Linked DNA regions of Cricetulus griseus. The protein of the gene in region 3 purifies or fractionates together with the protein of the main gene of each other region. This does not show direct contact. Links are inferred from orthologs where the notes say so. Each region holds a gene or a part of one and is shown on either strand. Other genes may lie near its edges.

Region 1 (7,750 bases), on a different chromosome or scaffold from region 3:
TTGTTTAATTATATAACCTATTTAAAAAAAAAAAAAAAACAGTAAGCGTCATGTAACTTTTGTGCCACACAGAAATTTAAGTAGATTTCAGCACTTCAACAGCTGTTCTGTGGTAAACCACTTGATATTAATTTAAGGTTGATCTATGTCTATTTCCTGATACTGACTAAAAAAAGAAAGCAAAACTCAATCTTAAGAAAGTTACTTGAATTACCAGAGTGAGTAGGCATGTACCTGTGTACACACACCCAATAATAGTCTGAAAGGTTTTTTAAAGAGCCACATCAAGAACAGTGTTTATATAAATGAGCTTACAGAAGTTAAACTCAAGGCAAATGGGGTGTTGGCCAACATTTGTCAATGAGACTATTATCACTGAGCTTACTAGAATACAGGTAGACATTACCCCAGTTAGCACGAACCTCTTGTTGAGAAGCTACAACTCTGACTTATTTTCAGGAATGCTACTCGGAAGCATAGGACCCTGAACAAGGATTTCTCTAAAAAATATTTTTTTTAATTTAATTACCAAATCGAAATTTCACAGCCACTCAATCAGACTAAATTTCCCAACCAAAAGTAAACTTCTTATACAACAAAGGCCAAAGTTATGTTGTGTCCCTAAAAACTACTGCATGAACTAATAAACTATGTGTTTCTTCAAAGCTAGAAGCTAGCTCAATGGCACTTTGTTGACTGAGAGGCCTATGCGAATATATAAACATTAAATATTCCTAAAAGCAGTAACAAAAAAATGTAAAGTTTCACATAGCTCATAAAGTCTCAATAGCATGCCTCTGCAGTAAATCCATGCTGGCTAAACCACAACCAAGAGTGCCAATATTGCAAAATGGCATCTTCTGCTGCATGGTGCAAAGGAACTACTTTGTAACCGGGAATATTTCAACATGGTCACCAACACACCCTTGCTGACATTTGCAAAAAACCGGAGACTGTTTCTTAGTCACCCTTGCTATGATGAAGCCTGTTTCTCAGCTGCTTCCCAATTTCAAAGAAATACTCTGTATATTTCCTGCCTGGTAAGAAGGAAACACACCGTATACTATCTATCTGGTAAGAAGCAGGTACCTTATAAGAACTAGCCACGGGATAGCTGGGGTTAAGAGGCAAAATAATTGTCACTCAACCTCAAGTTCCAAACTGTCCTAAAGACGAGCCCCAAAATGAGGCCATTAAGCCAGTGAATAAAGACATGCTGAGGTCTAAGCCTAGATGTTAGCAAACAAAAGTCGAGGGCCAGTCTCAAGTCAATACTATGACTAAACAAGATTTCTGTCTGCCACTGCAAATTTGGTAAGCTGACTGAAGGCAAAACGATCATGGCTTTAATGGAGATACAGTGTGTGGTGAATACAGTCCTGAGAGTCCTGAGGCAGCTAAGCTACAAGGCCCTGCTCCACAACAAATGAGTGTTGGGCGAAGGGAGCTTAGGTAGCACCGATGCCAGGCAGAAACTACTCAGGCCCCTGACTGCCAGTAAGAGAACATTTGCCTAGAAGGCAGGCAGAGTGATGAGCCACTAATGAGAATGAGCAACTCACTCCCTCATTCTTATTCCTCTGTGGGCCAGTGGGCCCTGTGTGCTGTTTCCCTCCTCTCCCAGCCACAAAGATATCACACTAGCACGCCACCCTTTCCTACTACACCTGTGAAGCGTCTCGCATAGGTGTTTGTACTGACCACCTGCCACAGATGCCCAAAACCAGAGGAAAACGTGCAGTTCTGGAGTTTGCCCTTCTAGTCCAACATGCATGAGGTTCTGCTCTAAGCAAGGAAGAGGTCAGATGTGGTTTGGGCTTTCTGTGGGACAGTGAAGGATGGACAGGGACACTATGAGAGCAAGAGTCCCAACCACTGACAGGACCTGATAAACAGGAAGCTGATTGTCTGAATTAACCATCCCTTCCCTCCCTCCAAATAGCTGTTAGTTACTCAAGACTACTATCCTCTCTCTTTGCCTCACACTCTAGGAAAATACTTCCAAACCACACATACCTAAAGTGCTGTACTAAACAATCTGTGAAGCTTATAAAGGCTAAACCTAAGCCCAGTGTGCACATGTACTCCAGGGACAGCTGCACTTGTGTGACTGACATGTAGTTAGGATAGCCACTGGCTTACTAAGGCTACAGGTTTGGTGATTTTGGTCAAAGTTCTGTATTTTCCATACCATTTCTGTAAGTAGTCCAGTGCCTCCAAACGAGCACCAATCTCAAAAGTGATTCCAGGACGATTTGGGGGCTTTTTACTCATCTTGAGATCCTATTCTTCAGTATTTTCTTTCCACTACCTCAAGAGGAAAAAAGAAAGTTAGATTCTAACACATAAAATGCACAGGGAATATGACTTACAGGAACAGACAGAACTTAGCTAACTTTCAAAGTAACACATGGGAAATTACAATACTTTTTCTAATTAGAGGATTACCAGTACCTGTAGGTAGCATGCAACAGGAAGGTAACCTTAGTAAAGCAAGATTAGTAAATGGAATACAGAAAGGAAAACTAGCTGAAAAAGAAGGGACAAGCGATCAGTACTTATGAATAGCTAAAATGCCTTAAACCTTAACTCAAACATACCCAAGAAAGTTCTACCCAAGGAAGATTGAAAATGCTGTTTTTAAAAATTAAGACAATCCTGCTTACTGAAATCCTTGAGGGATTAATGGTTTTTCACTTAATTTCAAGAAATCTTTTTGGTACATCTAAATGTACATCCCTTTATAAAACACTAAAATTAAGGAGGAAGCAGTAGACATGCCGTCGTGTGCCACCAAGGCCACCAACCAATGTCCCTGTAAGATCAGGATGCACTGCTGCTTGACAGTTTTAACAGAGCTGCAGAGGACTCTTTCCCTCAATTCCACCTTTAATGATCAATAATGTCGGGGTCTGACTTTGAGTGTAGTTTCTATGGTAAACTCAACATAGTGCCCACAATCAAAATAAACAAGTTTCTCATAAGAAAAACCTGCAGAGGATCACTGTGTAGATCATTCACCGGTCAAGAATTTACTGTTCTTTAAGCCACACGGGTCTCCTAGCACACTTGAGGCCTTTTTCACTACTAAGTGTTTGAGGGAAATGAATACATTCTCAAGAGTATCGATACTGGAATGAAAATATAATTGGTATGCTAAGTCTTATCAAAATGCAATTGGTAATCGGGAATACAAAGCAGTTATTGATGGAGGAAGATGGTTTAAAACATGCTTTACACAATACTGAGTAGGCTCCCTCCAGCCTAAAATAATACAAAACATCACACAAAAACAGAAACTTTAAAAAATAAACCTCATACAACTGCAATTTTTTTTTAAAATAATGATTTGGTTACTGTTTAAAACAGGCAAAATACAATGGCAAACAAATGTGCCTTCCTTTCTTTTTTAATATCTGAAAAGGCAAGGCAGAAATAGCATCAATGCTCGCCACAAAAAAAATCTGGGGGCCCAAGTTGACAAGCCCGTGGCTAAGGGGCTGGCTTTAGAATACTCTGGCATGACATAGGTGAGGTTAAGATTGGTAGCCAGGGTGCGCTGGGTGTAATGGGAACAAACAAACATTTTACATAGAGATTTTCTAAGTGTGCAACATACAAACTTCCAGCCTGTAAATCGAATCCCCCAAGTGACTCTCAGGAATGAGGCACCGCAAAGGGCACAGGGGGAATCCCATTGTCTTGTGGGGGACGGGGAGGTGGCGGGCTTGGGGACACGGGTGCGGGGTGAAGGTGGCATCTAAACTGACAACTTTTAGAAAAGACGTTCTACTGGAAAGATCCTTAAACACAAAGAGAGGGGGAGAGAGAGAGGAGAGGGAGGGAGAGAGGGAAAGAGAAAGGGAAGGAGAGAGAGGGAAGGAAGGAGGGAGAGAGGAGACAGAGGAGAGAGAGAGGGAAGGAGGGAGGGAGAGAGGAGACAGAGAAGAGAGGGAAGGAGGGAGGGAGAGAGAAGAGAGGGGGAAGGAGGGAGGGAGAGGGAAGAGAGATACAGAGACAGAGAGAGAAGGGCAGGGGAAACAAAAAAAAAAGGTATGAAGAGAGAGGGGAAAGCGGTAACAAAAAATAAAATAAAAAAAGAACTGCGCTCAAGTTAGCGGAGATGACAGTGAGAGGAAAGAGACAGACACACACACACAGGGCGAGCGGGCAAGCCGGCGGGCGAGCCGGTGAGGGAAAGACCGCGAAGCTGAGCAGAGGCGGGGAGGCAGGCGGGCGGGCGGGCGGGGAGGGGGGGACGCGCGGGCGAGGGCGGCAGGGGAGCCGGGAAAGGCCGCGGGCGAGCGGCGCGGCTGGCCCGGAGCCCGGGGAGGGAGCTGCGGGTTGACAGCCGAGCGAGCCAGCGAGCCAGCGAGCCCAGCGAGCGCCCGCGGGGGAAGGAAGGCGGGGACCGCAGCGGCGGCGGCGGCGGCCGCGCGCAGACAATGGGGGCCGAAGCCAGCGAGCAGCCAGCGAGCCGCGACCCGGGGCCCCTCCCGGCCCCGCCGCCGCCGCCGCCGCCCCCTCTTACCGCCTCGGCCTCCTCTGCGCGCAGCAGCCGGGCGTCCGGGGCGCCTCAAGGCGGCCAGCGCGGGCCTCGCAGCGGGCCGGGACGGAGCAGGAGCAGGAGCCGGGCCCGCGGCGCCGCGCCGGCCCGAGGGACGCGGGGAGGGAGCCGGGTCCGAGCCCTCAAGCCCGCTCGGGGCCGCTGCCATCGCCGCCGCCGCCGCCGCCGCCGCCACAGCCGCCACCGCCCGCCGCCACCGCCACTGCCGCCGGCCCTGACGCGACGCCGGCCGCCGACGTCAGCCGCCCGCGACGACGCAGCGGAAGCGGGCTGGGCTTTGTCACGTGGCGGGCGAGGGCCGGGCTCGCGCGGCGCCGCCGATTGGAGGACGGCTCCTGGGGGCGGGGCCTCGGCGCAGGTTCGCCCGGCGCAGACGATTAGAGGGCGGTTCCAGGGGCGGGGCGTAAGCCCACGGGCTCGCAGGGAGGGCGGTTCTAGGGGGCGGGGCTTCGGCCCCCCCAGGCTAGTGCGGCGCAGACGATTGGAGGGCGGTTCTAGGGGCGGGGCTTCGACCCCCTCCGGGCTCGCGCGGCGCAGACGATTGGAGGGCGGTTCCAAGGGCGGGGTTTCGTCCTCCTAGGCTCGCGCGGCGCAGACGATTGGAGGGCGGTTCTGGGGGCGGGGCTTCGGCCCTGAGCCTGGGCTCCCGGGGCGAGAAGCAGGGACTTGAGCTGGTTTCCAGGCGACCCCAGGGGCTGACACCCTGGGCAGACGTAAATGCACCACCGAGTCCATTCCAGCCCCGCAGGAACGACGGGCACAATGATCTCTCTTGCACAATCAGGAAAGCGTAATAATCGCAGCCGCACAACTGCACTGCTCTCCAACCTCCGAAGTTCTTACTAAAGGACTAACAGCAGGCATCCCTACGAAGTGGAGCCTGTGACTACAGTGATGTGACTTCCACAAGTCTGCACGACTAATGATATAGGGGCTGCGTTTACATGCCCCGGAGTGTGCAGTAAGCACGAGAGTCCCTGCCCCAGCTTTGGGAAAACTTAAAAGTGATCACAGACAAAATACTACTGACAGGAAGCATCTGTTTTGTTTTGTTTCTCTCTCTCTCTCTCTCTTCCACTCTATCGCTCTGCCTCCCACGTTTTTAAAGTGCATCTTCGCATACAAATGACGCTTATATTTATCTTGCTTCGTCGCGTACTGAGAAAATAGCCAAGTGACTCTAAGTTTCAATGATGGTGAGATTTTTGTAACTGAAGCAAACATTCACGTTTAACGTTTTATTCAAAAGGCATTCATTCAAAAATGTGTTTCTAGTGGCTGCAGGGTTGCACTGAGCTTGGTGATGCTGCAAACACCGTAAATAAAGACAGTTGTTAATGATATTTGTCATCTTGTTTTTCTTTTCAGTGTCTGAGAATTTCCTCCATAGCTGTCATTAGTCCAGTGCGTTAAATATTTCTATACTCTTTCTTCTGCCACAAGCAGATTTTATACTTTCCGCTTTTCTTAGTAATATGCTTGCTTGTTCATTTAATTTGATGTAAAATTAAATTGCAAGTAGAATTCGTCACAGGGAATGGCAATGTATGATGCCAGTTCAACAAATTCCCTGTGCCTCAAACTGTGGCTTTCGATGTTTGCAACAACTGGTGACCTTGATACATCAGGATGAGCACAGTAATTACATATCAACAACAAGCATGCAATTATGAACAATACTTAATTTAAACAATAAAATGTACACTGTTGAGAAGTAAAAGGTATATATTTATAAATCAGGATCATTTGTTACAAAATCGAACCTTCCAAATCATAAGGAATCTTGGAGGAAGAATCAGCCGCTCACTAAATGGGATGTCAACATTAGACTCTAATGAGCTTAGCCTCACTTGGGGCAAAAAGGTCTGGCTTTAACTGCTAAGTAAACTGAATTTCTTTAAGAATTTGTATGCAATGATGATAACAGTGTTCAAAATAAGGAAACATTTTCGACACCACAACAGTAATAGTATCAATAATCTTTCCTATGCCTGAATCTTCCTGAAGTCTGGAGGAAACCACACTGATCTACAAGCCAGTATATATATATGTGTGTGTGTGTGTGTGTGTGTGTGTGTGTGTGTGTGTGTGTGTGTTAGAATACATAACATATTTTCTTTACTATGTTGAGTGTCTACCAACCCATTTCCCCAAAAAAGAATAATGATTCCTCTATTTCAACTAGAACATAGATACAGAGTCCCTCCAATAATACATATTAGAATAAAAATAGGAATGACCTCCTACTTACACTCAATCAAGTAACCCTTAGCAAACTCGGTGAGCAGCACACAAAATGGAGATGTAAAAGTAACATGGAGACTTGCTGAGAAGAGTTCCAGTGAGAGAGGGGGTGGGGGAGGGGATTTGGGTGTGAAAATGACTAAAATGTATGATCGAAGTGTATGAAACTGTCAAAAATAGAAAATGTTTTTTTTTTTAATGGGACTGAGGTCTAATGTACATTAGTGGCTTGAGTGATGCATGGTCCTGTGGAGTTAATGCCCCCCCACTTCAGATTACATGTTGGAAAAGGGATTGTCATAGTTACTTGTTACTAAATTGCTATAGGAAATCTCTACAACTCAACAAGAAGGCATCAGGTCTGCAAAAAACAAAACAAAACAAAACAAAGCCTGAAATGCACAATGCAGCTCTTTACCTTGTAGAATTACCCCCAAGTCATGCATGACCTTTGAATGTCCATCCATGTACTCATAAATAGAAAACACTTGTTTAAAATTGTGTGTGCCTAAAACTGAGTCTCATGTGTAAACTCAAAGTGAGATTGGTGGGGGGGGGGCTTTAAGGGCTGTTCAACTTCCAGAGGATGCAGCCACTATGTTACAAAGGAATTTGTGCACTGTTTTATAAACTTTGACAGGAGGCACAGCTAGAACAACTCCTGTATCCATATGTATTTGTTCCTGTTAGAGTCAAGAGGAATAAAATTGAGATGCAAACACTTGAGTACTACACTGTTTCTTTTTGTGAATCGGCGTGGAATATATTATATTGAGCTAATTTATTGTACATTATTTCCACAACTCTTGAGCTTTTTGTTATCATTGTGTCATTGTCTTAGTTTGGGGTTGATTGCTATGAAGAGACACCATAACCACAGCAACTCTTATAAAGGAAACCATTTAATGGGCATGGTTTACAGTCCAGAGATTTAGTCCA
Region 2 (7,971 bases), on a different chromosome or scaffold from region 3:
ATGTGGCACACACAGATACATACATAAATAAAATTAACAATCTTTTTTATTATTATTAAAATCCAGCCAGGCATGGTAGTGCATTCCTTTAATCCCAGCACTTGGGAGGCAGAAGCAGATGTATCTCTGTGAGTCCTAGACCAGCCAGAGCTATACAGCCAAGTCTGCCAACCTGAGTTTGATCCTTTAAAAAACAAAAAAGAATTTAAAAAGAAAAAAAAAATTAACATCCCAAAGCAACATATGTTCTAAATTACTAGACCATTTTCAGGTCATCACTTTAGCCACTGTTCAAAAACCTGCCTCCCTCTCTTCCAACAAAGGAAGATGTAAGGAATTACCTGTTAGTTTCCACTTAGTTTTGAATTCTGTTTTCAAATATTTGGATTTGATTCAAACAAAAAGTATAAAAAGCCAGTTATAGTGGATCATGCCTTTAATCCCAGCACTCAGGGAGCAGAGGCAAGCTTATCTCTCTCAATTCAAGGCCAGCCTAGTCTTTATGAGGAGTTTCAAAACAGCCAAGGTAACAGTGAGAACTTGTTTCAAATTAAATTTTTTTTTTTTTTTTTTTTTTGTTTTTGTTTTGTTTTTCGAGACAGGGTTTCTCTGTGTAGCTTTGGAGCCTATTCTGGCACTTGCTCTGGAGACCAGGCTGGCCTCGAACTCACAGAGATCCACCTGCCTCTGCCTCCCGAGAGCTGGCATTAAAGGCATGCACCACCAATGCCCGGCTCAAATTAAAAAATTTTTAAAAAGCAAGCAAGAGGGTTCAGCAGGGAAAGACTCTTGCCATTCAAGCCTGATATCCTGAGTTCAATTCCTAGAAAACACATAAAGGCACAAGGACAGAGCAAACTCCTCAAAGATAAAGGCACAGCAAGCCAAGTCTGCCAACCTGAGTTTGATCCTCAGGACCCAAATGGCAGAAGGAAAACTGTAAGCTACATATATATACACACACAGACACACTCAGAAATAAGTAAACATGAAAAAAATAAATTAGGCCAGGTGTAGCAGTACACACCTTTAATCCCAACACTCAGGATTCAGAGGCAAGTAAATCTCTGAGTTTGAGGCCAGTCTAGTCTACATAGTGAGTTCTAGGTTAGCCAGGGCTACCTATATAAAGATACCATATCCCATAAAAAAACAAAGTAAAATAAATAATTTAACTAGGGACCAGCAAGACAGCTCAGCATGTAAAGATGATTATTTGGGGGATAGAAAGATGGCTCAATGGTTAGAGCACTGGCCACCCTTCCAGAAGACCTGGGTTCATTTCCTGGCACCCACACTGTGGCTCAGAATTCCACACATATACATGGAGGCAAAACACCGACACATATAAAACAAAATAATAATTTTTAAATGAAAAAAAAAACAAAAAACAAAATGGGCTGGATAGATGGCTCAGAGGTTAAGAGCACTGGCTGCTCTTCCAGAGGTCCTGAGTTCAATTCCCAGCAACCACATGGTGGCTCACAACCATCGTTATGAGATCTGGTGCCCTCTTCTGGTGTGCAGATATACATGGAAGCAGAATGTTGTATACATAATAAATAAATAAAATCTTAAAAAAAAAAAAAAAAAAAAAAAAAAAAAACCTGCTGCTAGGCCTAATGACTTGAGGTTGATCCTGGAAACCTACTTGGTGAAAGGAGAGGCCCAACTCCCACAAGCTGTCCTCTGTCCTCCACCCAGCACCTGCACTATGGCCCATATGTGTGCACACATGTACATCTGTGCAAGCACAAATAAATATAAAATTTTAAACTAAATTAGAATAAAATAAGGTATCTGAAAACAAGCCAAAGAAATACAGAAATTTTAGGGGCTGAGGCTAATGTTCAGCAATATAATGCTTATCTAGGATCTCCAGCATCATATAAAAAAAGAAACATGAACATTTGCCATGATGTATACACTTTAATTAAAGTCTCATTTCTTTTTATTTAAAAATATAACTTGGTGGTGGTGTGGCAGTGCATGCTTTTAATCCTAGCACTTGGGAGGCAGAGGCAGACAGTTCTCTGTGAGTTTGAGGCCAGCCTGATCTACAGAGATCCAGGACAGTCAAGGCTACACAGAGAAACCCTGTTTCAAAAACAAAAACAAAGGGCTAGAGACATAGCTCAGTGGTTATGAGCACTGGCTACTCTTCCAGAGGACCTACCACATGGCAGTTCACACCTGTCTGTAACTCCTGTCTGTAACTCCTGTTCTAGGGGATCTGACACCTTCACACAGACATACATGCAGGCAAAACGCCAACATACATAAAATACAAGTAAAAAATTTAATTAATAAAATAAAAAAAACTCTAATTTGAAAATATAGAAAAAAACGTACTGTTTCTGCCAATTTAAACGTATTTTGAAATGTTAAGTATAAAAAATGGGAGGAAGGGGCTGGAGAGATGGCTCAGCGGTCAAAGGCACTGACTACTCTTCGAGAGGACCGGAGTTCAAATCCCAGAACCCCTATGCACTTCAACGCTGTTTGTAACTCCCAAGATCTGTCACTCCCACACAGGCATACCTGCAGGCAAAGCACCAATGCATATAAAAAGTAAATACATTAAAAAAAAAAAAAACTGATTTCTAAAAAAAAAAAAATAAAGGTAGAAAATGTGAAGAAAAAAAAAAAACTGTTTATGGCTTATGCCTGAAATCTCAGCACTTGGGAGGCAGAGTCATTAGAGTACTAGGCCAGTCTAGACCATATAGCAAGATTCTATCTCAAAACAACAAAGCTTAAACTTAGCACAGTTTTACACCGATCAAAGGATTGGTAGGAAACATAAAACTAAGGCAGCCACATAATTACATTCTCGAGTAGTTAAGAGATAATAATTCATACTTACTATAGGACACTGACTGTATTTCCGACAAGTCAAAGGACTCTGGTAATTCCCCAGGTTTACCATTAGAGGTAAAACCTTAAACACTTCACACATCTTTAAAAAGTAGGCCTCAATATATTTAATACCTTAAAACCAAGGAAGCTGAAACATGAAATCTAATATACTGGTCATAGAAGTCAGCAAGTCCTGATGGCTCAGCAGTTAAGAATACTAACTAATAGGACCCAGGGTTCAATCCCAGCACCCACATGGCAGCTTACCACTGTCTGTCAACTCCAGTTCCAGGAGTTCTGACACTGTGACACAGATATACATGCAGGCAAAAAACCAACACACATAAATAAAAATAAATGTATTTTTTTAAAAAAGGAAATGAAAACACAATTATACAAGGTCCTCCAGTTCCTAGGCAATCGATTCTTCAGACTGTTTCCCCATTCAATCCCTCCAGCTGTACCATGGGGAAAAGACTGCAAAGAATGAGTCACTTTGGACCCCTTTATATTAATATATGCACTCATCCAACAAGAGCAGCCAGAACAAAAGTGAGGATAAGATCCAGTCTACATTACCTAAAGATTTCCCAAAAGTCCAAATATTTAGGTTACACAGACTGCATTATTCTGATTTACCCACTATACTATTCTGGAATTACATGGAGCAGATCAAAACAATCTTAACTATATCATTATCTAACTCTCAAGGAAGGCGAGGCTGACAGAGGACTTCTAGCACTACTTATCAGTTCTTGGTCCTCCCTCTCACTTCCTCACTTTCAAGCCTTAAGCTCAGTCTTCTGCTTAGCCCTAACCAAGAGTTCTTCTGCCATCTCCGAACAGATCAGAAAGAACCATAAGAGACAAATGGTCACTGTCCCACATTGCCCTTGAAATGAAAGGACACAATGGCTACCTGTTGAAAAAAATTAGTGTAAGGGTTCATGAACTGGCCTAAGGAGCAGCAGATGAAGAGTTGTACACATAAACCTTAATATACTATATGAAACTTCAGAGTAAACAAATGGTTAATGACACATCTTTTGTAACACATGAATCAGCTCTGATTTGCAAAAGTGGGACACACCCAAGTTCATATGACTCTAAAGTAAGTACCTGTTTGAAAATGGACCTCAAAGTCTGAATTGCCAACCCCATAAGCCAGGTTTGGAACAGAATTTTACTAGTATGCAAGCTGTAATAATTTAAGGTTTAAAAAAAAAAAAAAAAAAATGAACTCTGGGGCTGGAGAGATGGCTCAGTGGTTAAGAGCTCTGGCTACTCTTCCAGAGGACCCAGGTTCAATTCCCAGCACCCACATGGTAGCTCACAACTGTCTGTAACTCCAGTTCCAGATACCTCCACACCAATGCACATAAAATAAAGTTAAATAAATTATTTTAAAAAATGAACTCATCATTATAATAAAAGTTAATTTGAGAACTTCATTAATATTTTAACACCAATCAAGAACAGCAATAATACAAATCCTAAGAAGCTAATAGTCCTCAGGATAAGTATCCTGTAAGGTAATTGAAGAGTTGTAAATTCAAGAACATCCTAGCATTTGGAATGTTGAGACAGGAAGTTCATGAAGTTAAAGGCATGCTTAGCAATCTAAAAAGTTCAAGGCAGCCTGGGCTACCATGAGACCCTGTCTCAAAACACAAATAGCAAACAAATATTCTTGGTTCTAAAACACTCATATGAAGTAATAAGGAAAAACCAATACATCTTACCTTAAGAGGCATCCAAATAGCATTCATAGTGTCAGGAATAGTTCAGATGAGCCTCAGAAAGAAGCAGGGAGAGACTAAGAAATCCCCTCAGTTACCACGGATAAAAGTGGCAAGATCTGAAAAGGAGGATGTTTCATTTAGATGACAATAATCTAGAATATGCAAATAGCTTATTCTATCTGGGAAGGATGCTAAGTGCCAACTGCCTTACCATCCTAGAAAGTGTGCAGGTGTGGCACACACTTTTAATCCCAGCACTCAGAGGAGGCTGAGGCAGGCTGTCATCTAGGAGTTCAACACTGGCCTGGTATACTTAGTGAGTTCAGGGTCAGGCAAGGCTACTTGTTGAGATGGTATCAAACACAAAAACAACAACAAAAGGTACAATATACAATTCTCTTTGGAAAGGGAATTTCACATGTATATTTTACATCAGAGACCATAAATTTTAAATAATCAAAAATTACTTATTAAAGATTCAGAAAACCAAAATCCAGGAGGAAAAGTTATTCTCCCATTCTCCCAGAGTATTATTTCATAAGCACTACTGAAAGTGATTTATTAACTCGTCACCGGAAAAAAAAAGTCTACAGCTACTTTTATTTAATAAATGTAAACCTCTCTGGCAACTCCAATGTCCTAACTTTTCTTAAAATTAAGTTTCAGCCGGGCGTTGGTGGTGCACGCCTTTAATCCCAGCACTGAGGAGGCAGAGGCAGGCGGATCTCTGTGAGTTCGAGACCAGCCTGGTCTACAAGAGCTACAAGTTTCAGGACAGGATCCAAAGCCACAGAGAAACCCTGTCTCAAAAAACCAAAATAAATAAATAAATAAATAAATAAATAAATAAATAAATAAAGTTTCAGAGCTGATTCTACATCATCATCATTATAATAATTGTTGCTATTCTTCACTGAAGTACTACAAGTTAAAAAAAAAAAATGGAGGGGGGGAGAAAAGATCCTTCTTTCCCAGAGATCTTTAAAAGCAGCCCAGAGGAATTAATTTTGAAGATGGTGGGTGCTAAGTGTGTAGGGACGCAAAAGGATGGACTAAATGACCCCTTCCTTGTAGGAGCCTTAAGTCCTAGGCCTGAATGAACATTCCAGCTTAACCAGTTACTGCTTCACTTAAAATGGAGGCTTGCCCGCGTAGGAACACAAAAATAACACACTCACCTCTTTAAAAAAATAATTTCTTAAATTCAGAGTCGAGGTCCCCCGTTTTAAAAATAAAATAAAGCACTGGGGTGGGTTTGCTCTGTCTCCGCGTTTGTCACTTCGGTTAGGGAGACTTGGCATCACTTTGCCTACCGCTCACCGGATTTGGGGGGTGGGGACCGGAGGAGTTTGACTCTTGACCCGACTCGCAGGCGAGCCTGAGCGCCCCTCCCCACCCCCGCCCCCACCCGCGAGGCGACGCGACGCGACCCCCAGGTTCCACAGAACCTCGGGGCCGAGATCCAGAGAGCGCCAGTCCCGCCCCTCCCCCGCCTCCGACCCTCGTCCGGGAGCTCCCCCACCCCCTGCGGCCCGCGACTCCTCCGGCCCGGTCCCATTGTTAGGAGGGGCGGCCGGGGCCGGGGCTCGCGGCCGGAGCCCGTGGCCGTTGCCCGACTTGCCTCAGGAGGGGGCGGCCCGCGGGATGCCGCTTCCGTCCTGCCCGCCGCGGTCCGTCCCACCTCGCTCGGCCTGGGCCCCGGGACACCGCTCGCGCCCCCGCTCCGGCCCGCTGGCCTCCCGTCTCCCGGTCCGCCGCGGCCCATGGCCCGAGGCCCAGGCCTGGCGGTGGGCGCCGGGCCGGGGTCCCGCGCCCCACACGCGTCCCTGCGTCCTCAGCCCGGCCGCCTTCAGGGCCCTCGGCGGCGCCCGCTCCCGCGACCCCTCAGCCTCCCTCCGCCCGCGGCGGCGCCCCCCGCGACGTCCCCGGACGGGACGCCCCACTCTGCGCCACCATCACCCCGACCCGCCGCGCCCCCACCCCGGGGCAGTAGTGCCAACGGCAGCTCCCCGGCCCCGGACCTACCTGCACGGCTCAACCAAGCTAGAGTGGGGGGGGCGGGCAAGCTTTCGCCCTCCTGTGTCTCTCATTGGCCCGTCCGAGGCAATTCGCGAGCGTCATTGGCTGCGAGTTGACGTCCGTCAGAGCTGTGGGGCGGGACGGTGTAGGGGGGGGGAGAGATGCTGGTGCCTCGGCGTCTCTGTCTCTGTATCTCTCCTGTCTCTGTCTCGGCCCTAGGAAAGGAGAGGCTTGAGCTGGACCGAATTGGAAGGGGGCCTAGTGGGAAAAATAAAAATAGGAAACCCTACAGTGCTTCACAGCAGTCCACCACTCAACCCCTGGCCACAGTCCCTCAGGTCCTCTTCTCTGTCACCCCCAACCCCTGCCCCTCACCCTTCCAGGTTCTTCATCCAGGAAGCGATGTGATGAAAACCGGGCCCGGAAGGCCATAGGGAGAGAGATTTTGTGTATGTACATTAAATATACACATATGATTGCTAATTTATGAAGTCAATCAGATTTGAGGTCATGAGGGCCTGGAAAGGCCACACATCTCACAGACCAGGAAGGAATTGAGAGAGCTGATAGTCAAAAATCACTCTCAGAGGTGGGAACAGTGGTTACCTCCTGGGATGAAATGGATTGCCCAGCAGACCAAGGGAGTGAAAGACTTAATCTCAGGCACATCCTTTGTAGATACTGATTTTCATACCATTCATAAACATTTCATATATATATATAATATATATATATATATATAATATATATATTAGCCAAGCGTGATGGCCTACGCCTGTGATTCTAGCACAAGAGACCAAGGTAGAAGAGTAATAAGTTCAAGAGCCAGCTTGGGCTAACAAAGTGAGTATTAATTTTTTTTTTAATCTTTAAATCAGGTCACAAAATTAGAAACAAACCACACGAACACGGCCCATGGAATCAACTAACCGGGGCTCCTAGAGACTCAGAGAGATAAAACCGACATTCAGGGACCCTGTAGATGCTACCTAAGACCTCTGCATACACGTATGGTTGTGTAGCTTGTTGTTCTCGTGGGACTCCTAACAGAGGCAGAGGGGGCTGCTTTCCTCCAACTGCCTCGTCCAGTCTTGATTTTAGGGCATGTGCCTAGGCTTATTGTAACTTGTTATGCCATGTTTGGTTGATATCCCTGTGAGGCCTGCTCTTTTTTGAAGGGAAAAATAAGAGGAATAAATCTGAGGGAGAGGGGAAGTGGAAGAGGTGGACACGGAGGAGAGAATGGGAGTGGAAGCTGGGATGTAATATGAGAGAAGAATAAATTAAAAAAAAAAAAAAGAGCCGGACGTTGGTGGCGCACGCCTTTGATCCCAGCACTCGGGAGGCAGAG
Region 3 (7,748 bases):
GCAACAGCCCATAAAATAGTTATAACAGTTCAACTAGATAGTACTACCCTAGACCTGGAGAGTCTTCTAGCTTAGGACACTGAAAACATTTCCTACTAAAACATAGCTGGGACTGTACACAGTTGAAATGTCTGTGTATATGTACATGCATAGATTATTAAGTCAAACAAAACTATATCAAAACAATACTTACCACTAAGAAAATGTAAAACACCCATATTGTCTACATTATCCTATTTCTCTCTTTCATTAAAAATTTTTTTAAAGGGATGGAGAAATAAATGGTTTAGAGGTTAGGAGTATTTGCTGCTCTTGCAGAAGACCTGGGTTTGGTTCCCAGCACCCACAAGGTGGCTCACAGCCATTTGTAACTGCAATTCCAGGGAATCCAATACTCACTTCTGAACTCTGTGGGCACCAGACATACATGTGGTACACATGCAGGGAACATTCATACATAAACCTAAAAAGCCTTTACAAAATGTAAATATTATACATACCACACAAAAACAAGTTCACAACCTATTAATACAGTGTCTACAGTGAGAAAAGCACGCTGCACTGTATTCCCCTAGAGCTCAGATGAGCAGAACTACAACACTGAGGCTCTTGGCTGCTGTAATGCCTTAGTGTGGAAATCAATGTAAGACTGTAAGTCTGCTCCCTCTTCTGAATTATTCAGAAAAATATAACTTTTCCTTTTCTTTCTTTCTTCTCTATTTCCTCTAAGCATACTTTCCTTAACACTTTGGGCTTTCCCCAACATTTTGGCTTCCTTACTCCTCTAAAATGCTGATTCCTTCCATGTGGTTGACTATCTACCATATATCTGATCTCCATGCCATTTTAAATGACATGATACTTTTCCTAAAGTTTACACCCTGCTTGCCTTGGGGCTTTTCTTTTAAACTCTAATAAAATTGTCAAACTTCTAAAACAGAAAGAAAGAAATGGAGGTTCAGAGTAGGAGGAACATAATCACCAAGAACAGTCAAGGCCAGTCTGAGCTACATAGTCATAAGACACCAGACAGCCAGGCACTATGACTCACTCATGTAAGCCTAGCACTCAAGGCTTAAAAGTAGGCACAGGGGAACCAGAAGTTTAAGATCATCCTTGACTATGTAGGAAGTCTGAGGCCAGCCTGGCTACATGAGACAGTCTCAAAAGAACAAAATGGGCCACTGAGATGGCTAAGTGGGTACTGTTATGTGCAGTGTAAGCCTAGAGACCTAAGCTTGCTGTTATGTGCAGTGTAAGCCTAGAGACCTAAGCACGATCCCTGGAACCTACTTCACAAAGTTACTCTCTAGCCTCCACATTCTCAAACCATGGCACACATAACCCCCCCAAACAATAAATATTTTTTGAAATATATATATTATTATTATAATATATATATACATATATATATATATAAAATTTTATTTTTTAAAGAAGAACCCTGGTTTGGGTACATTTGTAGAATGTATCAAAACCATGATTAGGGTCTGGCCCCTAAGATGATGTACTTCCTAATGAGATTTCTTTTCTTTTTTTTTTTTTTTAAGATTTATTTAGTTTTTTATGTACATTAGGGTTCTATCTGCATGTATGTATGTGTGAGGATGCCAGATCCCCTGGAACTGGAGTTACAGACAGTTGTGAACTGCTATGTGGGTGCTGGGAGTTGAACCCAGGTCCTCTGGAAGAGCAGCCAGTGCTCTTAACAGCTGAGCCATCTCTCCTGTCCCCTAATGAGATTTCTAAACCTACCAGTGCTCCCTCTGTAAACTGAGAATAATGCTCAGCAAAAGGCCACTCTGAAATATCAGAGCAAGGAAGGAATGAAGTATATTTAACCTAATATTTAGGCTCACAAACCATTAATGTGTGTCATAACTCCTGCCCACCTTTTAACCAGCTGTTTAACTTTAACATGCTAACTTCTCTGAGCCTACTTCCTCATGTACAAAAAGAACAAAATTTTCCCTGTGGTGATGGACTATTGGAGAGGATTTGATGAGTTTTTACAGCACTCAGCATGGTGCTGGATAACCAAGTAACCAATATAATTTTGTTTTCTTTTCCTTCCTTTGGAACTTCAAGTTCCAGAGTTCCAGCCCTAACTGTACCATTTCCTTGCTGCAAAACAGCAAGTCTCTTCTGTCTATAAGTTGAGATTTTTTACATCTGAAGAATAAATGAGAGATAAAATCCCTAGCACACTACAAGATTTCAAATGAGAGGAGTTATGGTTTTGTTACTGGGGCCCAAGAGGCCGACTGGGCTTGGCAGAAGCAGCAGGGCCTCCTGAGTCCTAGAGAAGGGAAAGGGCCAGGACCTTCTGTACGTGGTTGATCTCATCATGCTTTCGTTTTTGGTTTCGAGTGATCTTGCGCTCAGGCTGCTCCGCCAGCTCACTCAGGTATTTCTCAGAGTTCTTTTGCACGGCATCCTTCACTGTCTTGGTCAGTGCTAGTCGGTTCTTGTCCACCCATTCGTCCAGTCGCCTGTTGACTGTTAAGATGGACCATGAGGAACTGACCTGCTACCTCTTCCTTCCACCCAGGCCCAATGGCCCCAAACACTCACAGCCTACATAGTGTACATAGAATTCTTCTCGGCCCTCCTGGTCATTCACTCTAGACTGGATCACTTCTGCTGAATCTGTAAAGAAAAAAAAGGGGTCAGATGCACTGAGGGATGATTTCCAAATCCTTGTGTCCACATCCAATATTGTACTTATTTACCCTGTAAGGTGAGTTAGGTTAGGACTTTAGTTGGGTGGGTGGGTTGGGGGGGGGATGCTGACAGAGAGCTAGAGATTTGAAAACTGAGAAAACCTGGTATTTAAGTATGCTTAAGTCTAGCTCCAAATTCAGTGATCATTTTATTCATTCATTTATTTGGGGGACATGGGAGCTAGCTAGGGATTAAGACAGTTTAAGCTTCTATATAATTAATTCTTCCTTCAATTTCCTAAATGAATGTAACTAACTGACCACATTATTTTGACTTTCTGAATCTTAGTTCCTTCATCTAGAAAGTAAAAAAAAAGGCTTAAAATTCTTTAGCACAATGACAGATTCCTAGCAAATTTGTCTAGACACTAAAGCTTGTCTGGCCTTCTGCTGTTATTGCTGGACACAGAAAGCAGATACAGCAATGAATCACAAGAGAACTTGCTCTCTAGAGGTTTCCCATTTTACACAGAGCAGATAATTTTAACATGTTACATATATTATGGCTGAGGTCTGAAAAAAAATATTACCAAACATACAAGCAATTAACTTTGCCTGAAAGGGTCAAGAATGGGATCACCATGGAAGACAAAGTTAGGAGATGAGTTAAGAGCTAGCTAGGCAAACATGAGAAAAGTTAATGCATTCCAAGAAGAAGGCACAGTCACTGGAGGGCAGAGCAAGGCCTGGTCTTTACTGGGAGTGCTTAGTTTCTAAAACTGGAGTAGACATGAATGCTACTTTTGAGTTTTGTTTTTGAGACAGGGTTTCTCTATGTAGTCCTGGCTCTCCTGGAACTTGCTATGCAAGCTAGGCAGGTCTTGAACTAACAGATATGCCTTCCCAGTGCTGGGATTAAAGTGTGCTTTGCCATGCCCGACGTTTATTCTAGTTTTAAAATTACATTTATCTATTAGGGGGAGTGGTTGTAGGTGAAACCAGAGGGCAACCGGTGAGATCACTGTCTCTTTCTGCCATATGGGTCCTGAGGACAGAACTCAGATCCTCACGATTGGTGGCAAACACCTTTATCTGCTGAGCCATCTTAGCTTGGGGTTTATTTTGAAGAGGGAAGGAAATGGAACATACGTAAAAGGAAAACGTGTTTTTATGAACTGGGCGTCCTCTTTGCTGACGATGAAGGGGGCGAGAGAAATGTAAAGACAGACAAAAACCAAACAAAAAAACACCAGTGACGGAACAGAGCAGCAGAAATGAAGCTTGAAATCAGGCAGGAATGGGTGTTCACACGCTTACAATGTGATCACCTTACTGGTGGCTTCACAAGAGAAAACAAGCATAAAGCCCGACTGCAGTCTCCCACGAGAGAGCTGGCTTCTGCGTCCTTACCTTACCTGGGTCACCACCCTCACCCCAGGACTCCCAGCCCCAAACTCCGCCCCCTGGAGCAGCCATTCGTAAGCCCTGCCCCATCCCTAAGCCCCGCCTCCAGGCCCTGGACCCCGCCCTCACGCCAGGTGCTATCGGGCCGCCGGCACAGGTACGTTTCTCCGATTTCCACGGTGACTTCTGGTTCGCCACGCGCCGGGGTCGGCGGAGAGACGCGGCCCGGAGACCCGGCAGGCCCCTCGACTGCCGCATTTTCCCCGGGCCCGGGCTCGCCCTCCCCCACAATTCCCGAAGTCGTTGCAGCAACTGCGGCTGTTGCTCCCTGTGCCGCCATTGCGGTACCGGAAGTGGTGCCGGTGACCTTAGAGACGGCCGCTTTTAATTCCGGGTCAGCGGGGGATGGGGCGGAGTCTCAGCGTTTAGGGGGTAGGAGACTGTGATGTGGCGTTTGTTTCGTGGTGGGCGCCCCGTAGGGCTGCTGGTGGTTACGCTGTGGAAACACGTCCAGCCTGAGTTTTTCCGCTCTCTTTCTTTGAGACGGTTTCATGATATACTCCTGACTGATTTAAAGACGCGCCACCACGCCCGGGGTTTCTGTTGTTTAGTTTTTTGAGACAGGGTTTCTCTGTGTAGCCCTGGCGTTCCTGGAATTAGCTCTTGTAGACCTGGCTGGCCTCGAACTCACAGAGACCCGCCTGCCTCTGCCTCTGCTGGTATCAAGGGCGTGCGCCCCCCGTGTGTTATACTTGCTGACCTCTCTCCTCTCACCTTAGGTTCCCAAGAGCTGGGATTGAACACTAGCACCACTTTCCCATTTTTTGAGAAAGGCATTTTCACTGGCTGGTCTCAAACTCATTGAATTAGTGACCGTTATCTGGGGATTACTGTTGTGTTCCATTATATTGGAGTATGAAACCCAGGTCTTCATGCATGCTACTCACCCCATAGTTGCCTCACTTGTTCAGGGTGGGAGTTAAAAACAATTGAGACAGGGAAAGAACAGATGTGTCAAATAAGTACCTTCAGAATAAGCTTTTTTTTTTTTTTGAGACAGGGTTTCTCTGTGTAACGGCCCTAACTGTCCTGGAACTAGCTCTATAGAGCAGGCTGGCCTCAAACTCAGAGATCCACCTGCCTCCGCCTCCCGAATGCTGGAATTAAAGGTGTGAGCCACCGCCAGCCCCCCCCCCTTTTTTTTTAAAGAATCACTTGTCCCAACAGGGCTCAAACCTGTAATGTTGCCAGAGGTAACCTTGAGTTCTCATCACCTCCCAAATGTTGAGGTTAGGATGTGTTACCATACCAGGTTCATGCACTACTAGGGATTGTACCTAAGGCTTCATCAATGCTAGACAAACACTACCAGTGAACTACATCTCCAACCAGAATGACACCTCTTAAAGGTGGGGGGCTGGGGGGACGGCTGAGCAGAGACACAAAGAGCTATTTGGGCAGTGGCTAAAGAATCTTGAGTAGCGACTGTTTCTGAGTAGTGTACCAAATTCATTGAGATTCTGTAAAGATTAAACCATATGTACATATGGTCAAGTCATAAAATTATATAAACCATATAACAAAATTCAATTTAAACTTCTTATTTGGTAGATGAAGTAGAGCAACACACATCTAATTTGCTTTGCCTATTCACCTTTTATCCCCCACAAAGATCAGGTAAGGTGTGTTTTCTGTCATTACTGTGTTGGGGCAACTAACGATTAATAGCCTGCCCAATGCATATTTTAGGAACTGTGCCATAGGCAAACTAGTAGATGAAAAGAATAACCATTTGTTATATAGGAACTTATTTCCTGAGCTTTGCAGAACTGAGAAATATGTAGTGATTAGGAATGGGTGTGCATCTGTGAGTTATGTTGTATTTAACTCTGAAGCGGTGTTACTTTGCCCAGCTAAAACACTTGATTGGTCTTAGGAAGAGCTGAACGGCCAATAGCTAGGCAGGAGGAAGGATAGGTGGGGCTGGCATGCAGAGAGAATAAATAGGAAGAGAGGATCAAAAAAAGGACAACGGGCCAGCCACCCAGAAGGAAAGAACTATATAGAGAGCAAAGAAAGGTAAAAAAGCTCAGAGGCAAAATGTAGTTAAAGAGAAATGGGATAATTTAATTAGAATAGCTGGCTAGAAACAAGCCAAGGTAAGGCCAGAAATCCATAAGAATAAGTCTCCCTGTATTTATTTGTTAGCTGGGTGGCAGGCTCCCAAAGAGTTATAAAACAAAAAACCAACTACACACCCCTTTTCAGGATTGTTATTGCATTTACTCAGACTTCTGTTACCTCACTTCATCTTCACCTGACATCTTCAGTTACAGGTAAAGGCCTTCCTAAGTAAAGATTAACCTAAGCATAGTAAATCCATTGATCAGATGTGAGCACACGTACTCCTGTGCTGCCTGCACGTCATCCATGGTTCTAACATGCAAATCCAAGTTTTCTTCCTAGAACTGTATGGGGACTGCACACAGACCACCCCTGTTATGTGTATGAGTATGGGCATACAAGCATGCAAGTCAGAGGACTTTTCAAGGTTCAGTTTGTCTTCTGCCATGAGTTCCAAGGGCACAACTCAGTGGCAAGTGCTTTTCCCTGCTGAACCATCTCACCAGGTTCTTTCTGCTGCAGCAATCTGTGTCGTTTCTCTGTGTGTCACAGCTATGTACTTTCAAAGACTAGAACATGAGACTTTTCTTTGACAACTGCCTAAGGGATTTGGTGAGACAGGGTTTTGCCAAGCAGTCCAGACTGACCTTGAACTCTTTATCCTCCTGTGTTTTACCCCAAGGGCCAGGATCTCAGGTGTGTGTCACATTTGATTCTGCCAGAAAAGGCTAAAGAGTTTTGTTTTTGTTTTGAGACAGGGTTTCTCTGTGTAACAGCCCTGGCTGTCCTGGAACTCACTTTGTAGACCAGGCTGGCCTCAAACTGCAGAGATCTGATTGCCTCCCGAGTGCTGGGATTAAAGGCATGGGTCACCACCTCAGGCTAAGAGTTTTCAGTCTAGGAATTTAAATCCTTTCCCATCTCCACATCCCAAAACAGGGACTGTCAAGTGAGGGAATCAATTACCATGGAGCTTAACTCTCTCATGTCTGCTTCTGAGGAAGACGGTACTAGCTCTGGAGTTTTTATTAAGATCATTTACTTAACCTCTCCTGTTTCTTTTCATGGTTCCCCTACTCACTGTTGGAAGCACCTCCTACCCCCAACACACAAAATGGGATCAAGGACATTACAGTACCAACCCTGGGACCACTTTAACAAATTATTTGAACACAAATCTTCCTCAGGATCAGCTCTTAAAGAATCCAACCTGGGGGGCTGGAGAGATGACTCAGATGTTAGGAGCACTGGTTGCTCTTGCAGAAGTCCTGAGTTCAATCCCCAGCAACTACATGGTGGCTCAAAGCCATCTATAATGAGATCTGATGCCCTCTTCTGGTCTGCAGGCAAACGTGCAGACAGAACACTGTATACATACATAATGAAATAAATACATTAAAAAAAAATTTTTTAAAAACCCAACCTGAACCATCCTTTCTTATCTAAAAACCCATCCATGGAGTCCTACTGCCTCAGGGTAAGGCCCATGCTCCAAGCATTGCACACTGGCTGCTGCCTACCCTCTGGCAGCCAGCAGGATTTTCAGTGTAGCAAGAC

The links. Proteins that work in one complex are often made in the same cells at the same time.
Region 1: the proteins of Kat8 (region 3) and PHD finger protein 20-like protein 1 purify together in Homo sapiens (affinity purification with mass spectrometry; 3 studies listed by BioGRID and IntAct, with this or other methods). This does not show direct contact. The link is inferred for Cricetulus griseus from reciprocal best matches to the Homo sapiens genes KAT8 and PHF20L1.
Region 2: the proteins of Kat8 (region 3) and KAT8 regulatory NSL complex subunit 1 purify together in Homo sapiens (affinity purification with western blotting; 4 studies listed by BioGRID and IntAct, with this or other methods). This does not show direct contact. The link is inferred for Cricetulus griseus from reciprocal best matches to the Homo sapiens genes KAT8 and KANSL1.

Annotation. Positions count from the first base shown.
Region 1 is NC_048603.1:22,017,231-22,024,980, forward strand, and holds the start of PHD finger protein 20-like protein 1, read right to left. Parts: upstream 4,718-7,750; 5' UTR 4,532-4,717; intron 2,312-4,531; 5' UTR 2,275-2,311; coding exon 2,192-2,274; intron 1-2,191.
Region 2 is NC_048600.1:117,491,731-117,499,701, forward strand, and holds the start of KAT8 regulatory NSL complex subunit 1, read right to left. Parts: upstream 4,718-7,971; 5' UTR 4,602-4,717; intron 1-4,601. UniProt on the Homo sapiens protein: Non-catalytic component of the NSL histone acetyltransferase complex, a multiprotein complex that mediates histone H4 acetylation at 'Lys-5'- and 'Lys-8' (H4K5ac and H4K8ac) at transcription start sites and promotes transcription initiation.
Region 3 is NC_048596.1:72,862,993-72,870,740, forward strand, and holds the start of Kat8 (histone acetyltransferase KAT8), read right to left. Parts: upstream 4,440-7,748; 5' UTR 4,408-4,439; coding exon 4,197-4,407; intron 2,650-4,196; coding exon 2,575-2,649; intron 2,500-2,574; coding exon 2,324-2,499; intron 1-2,323.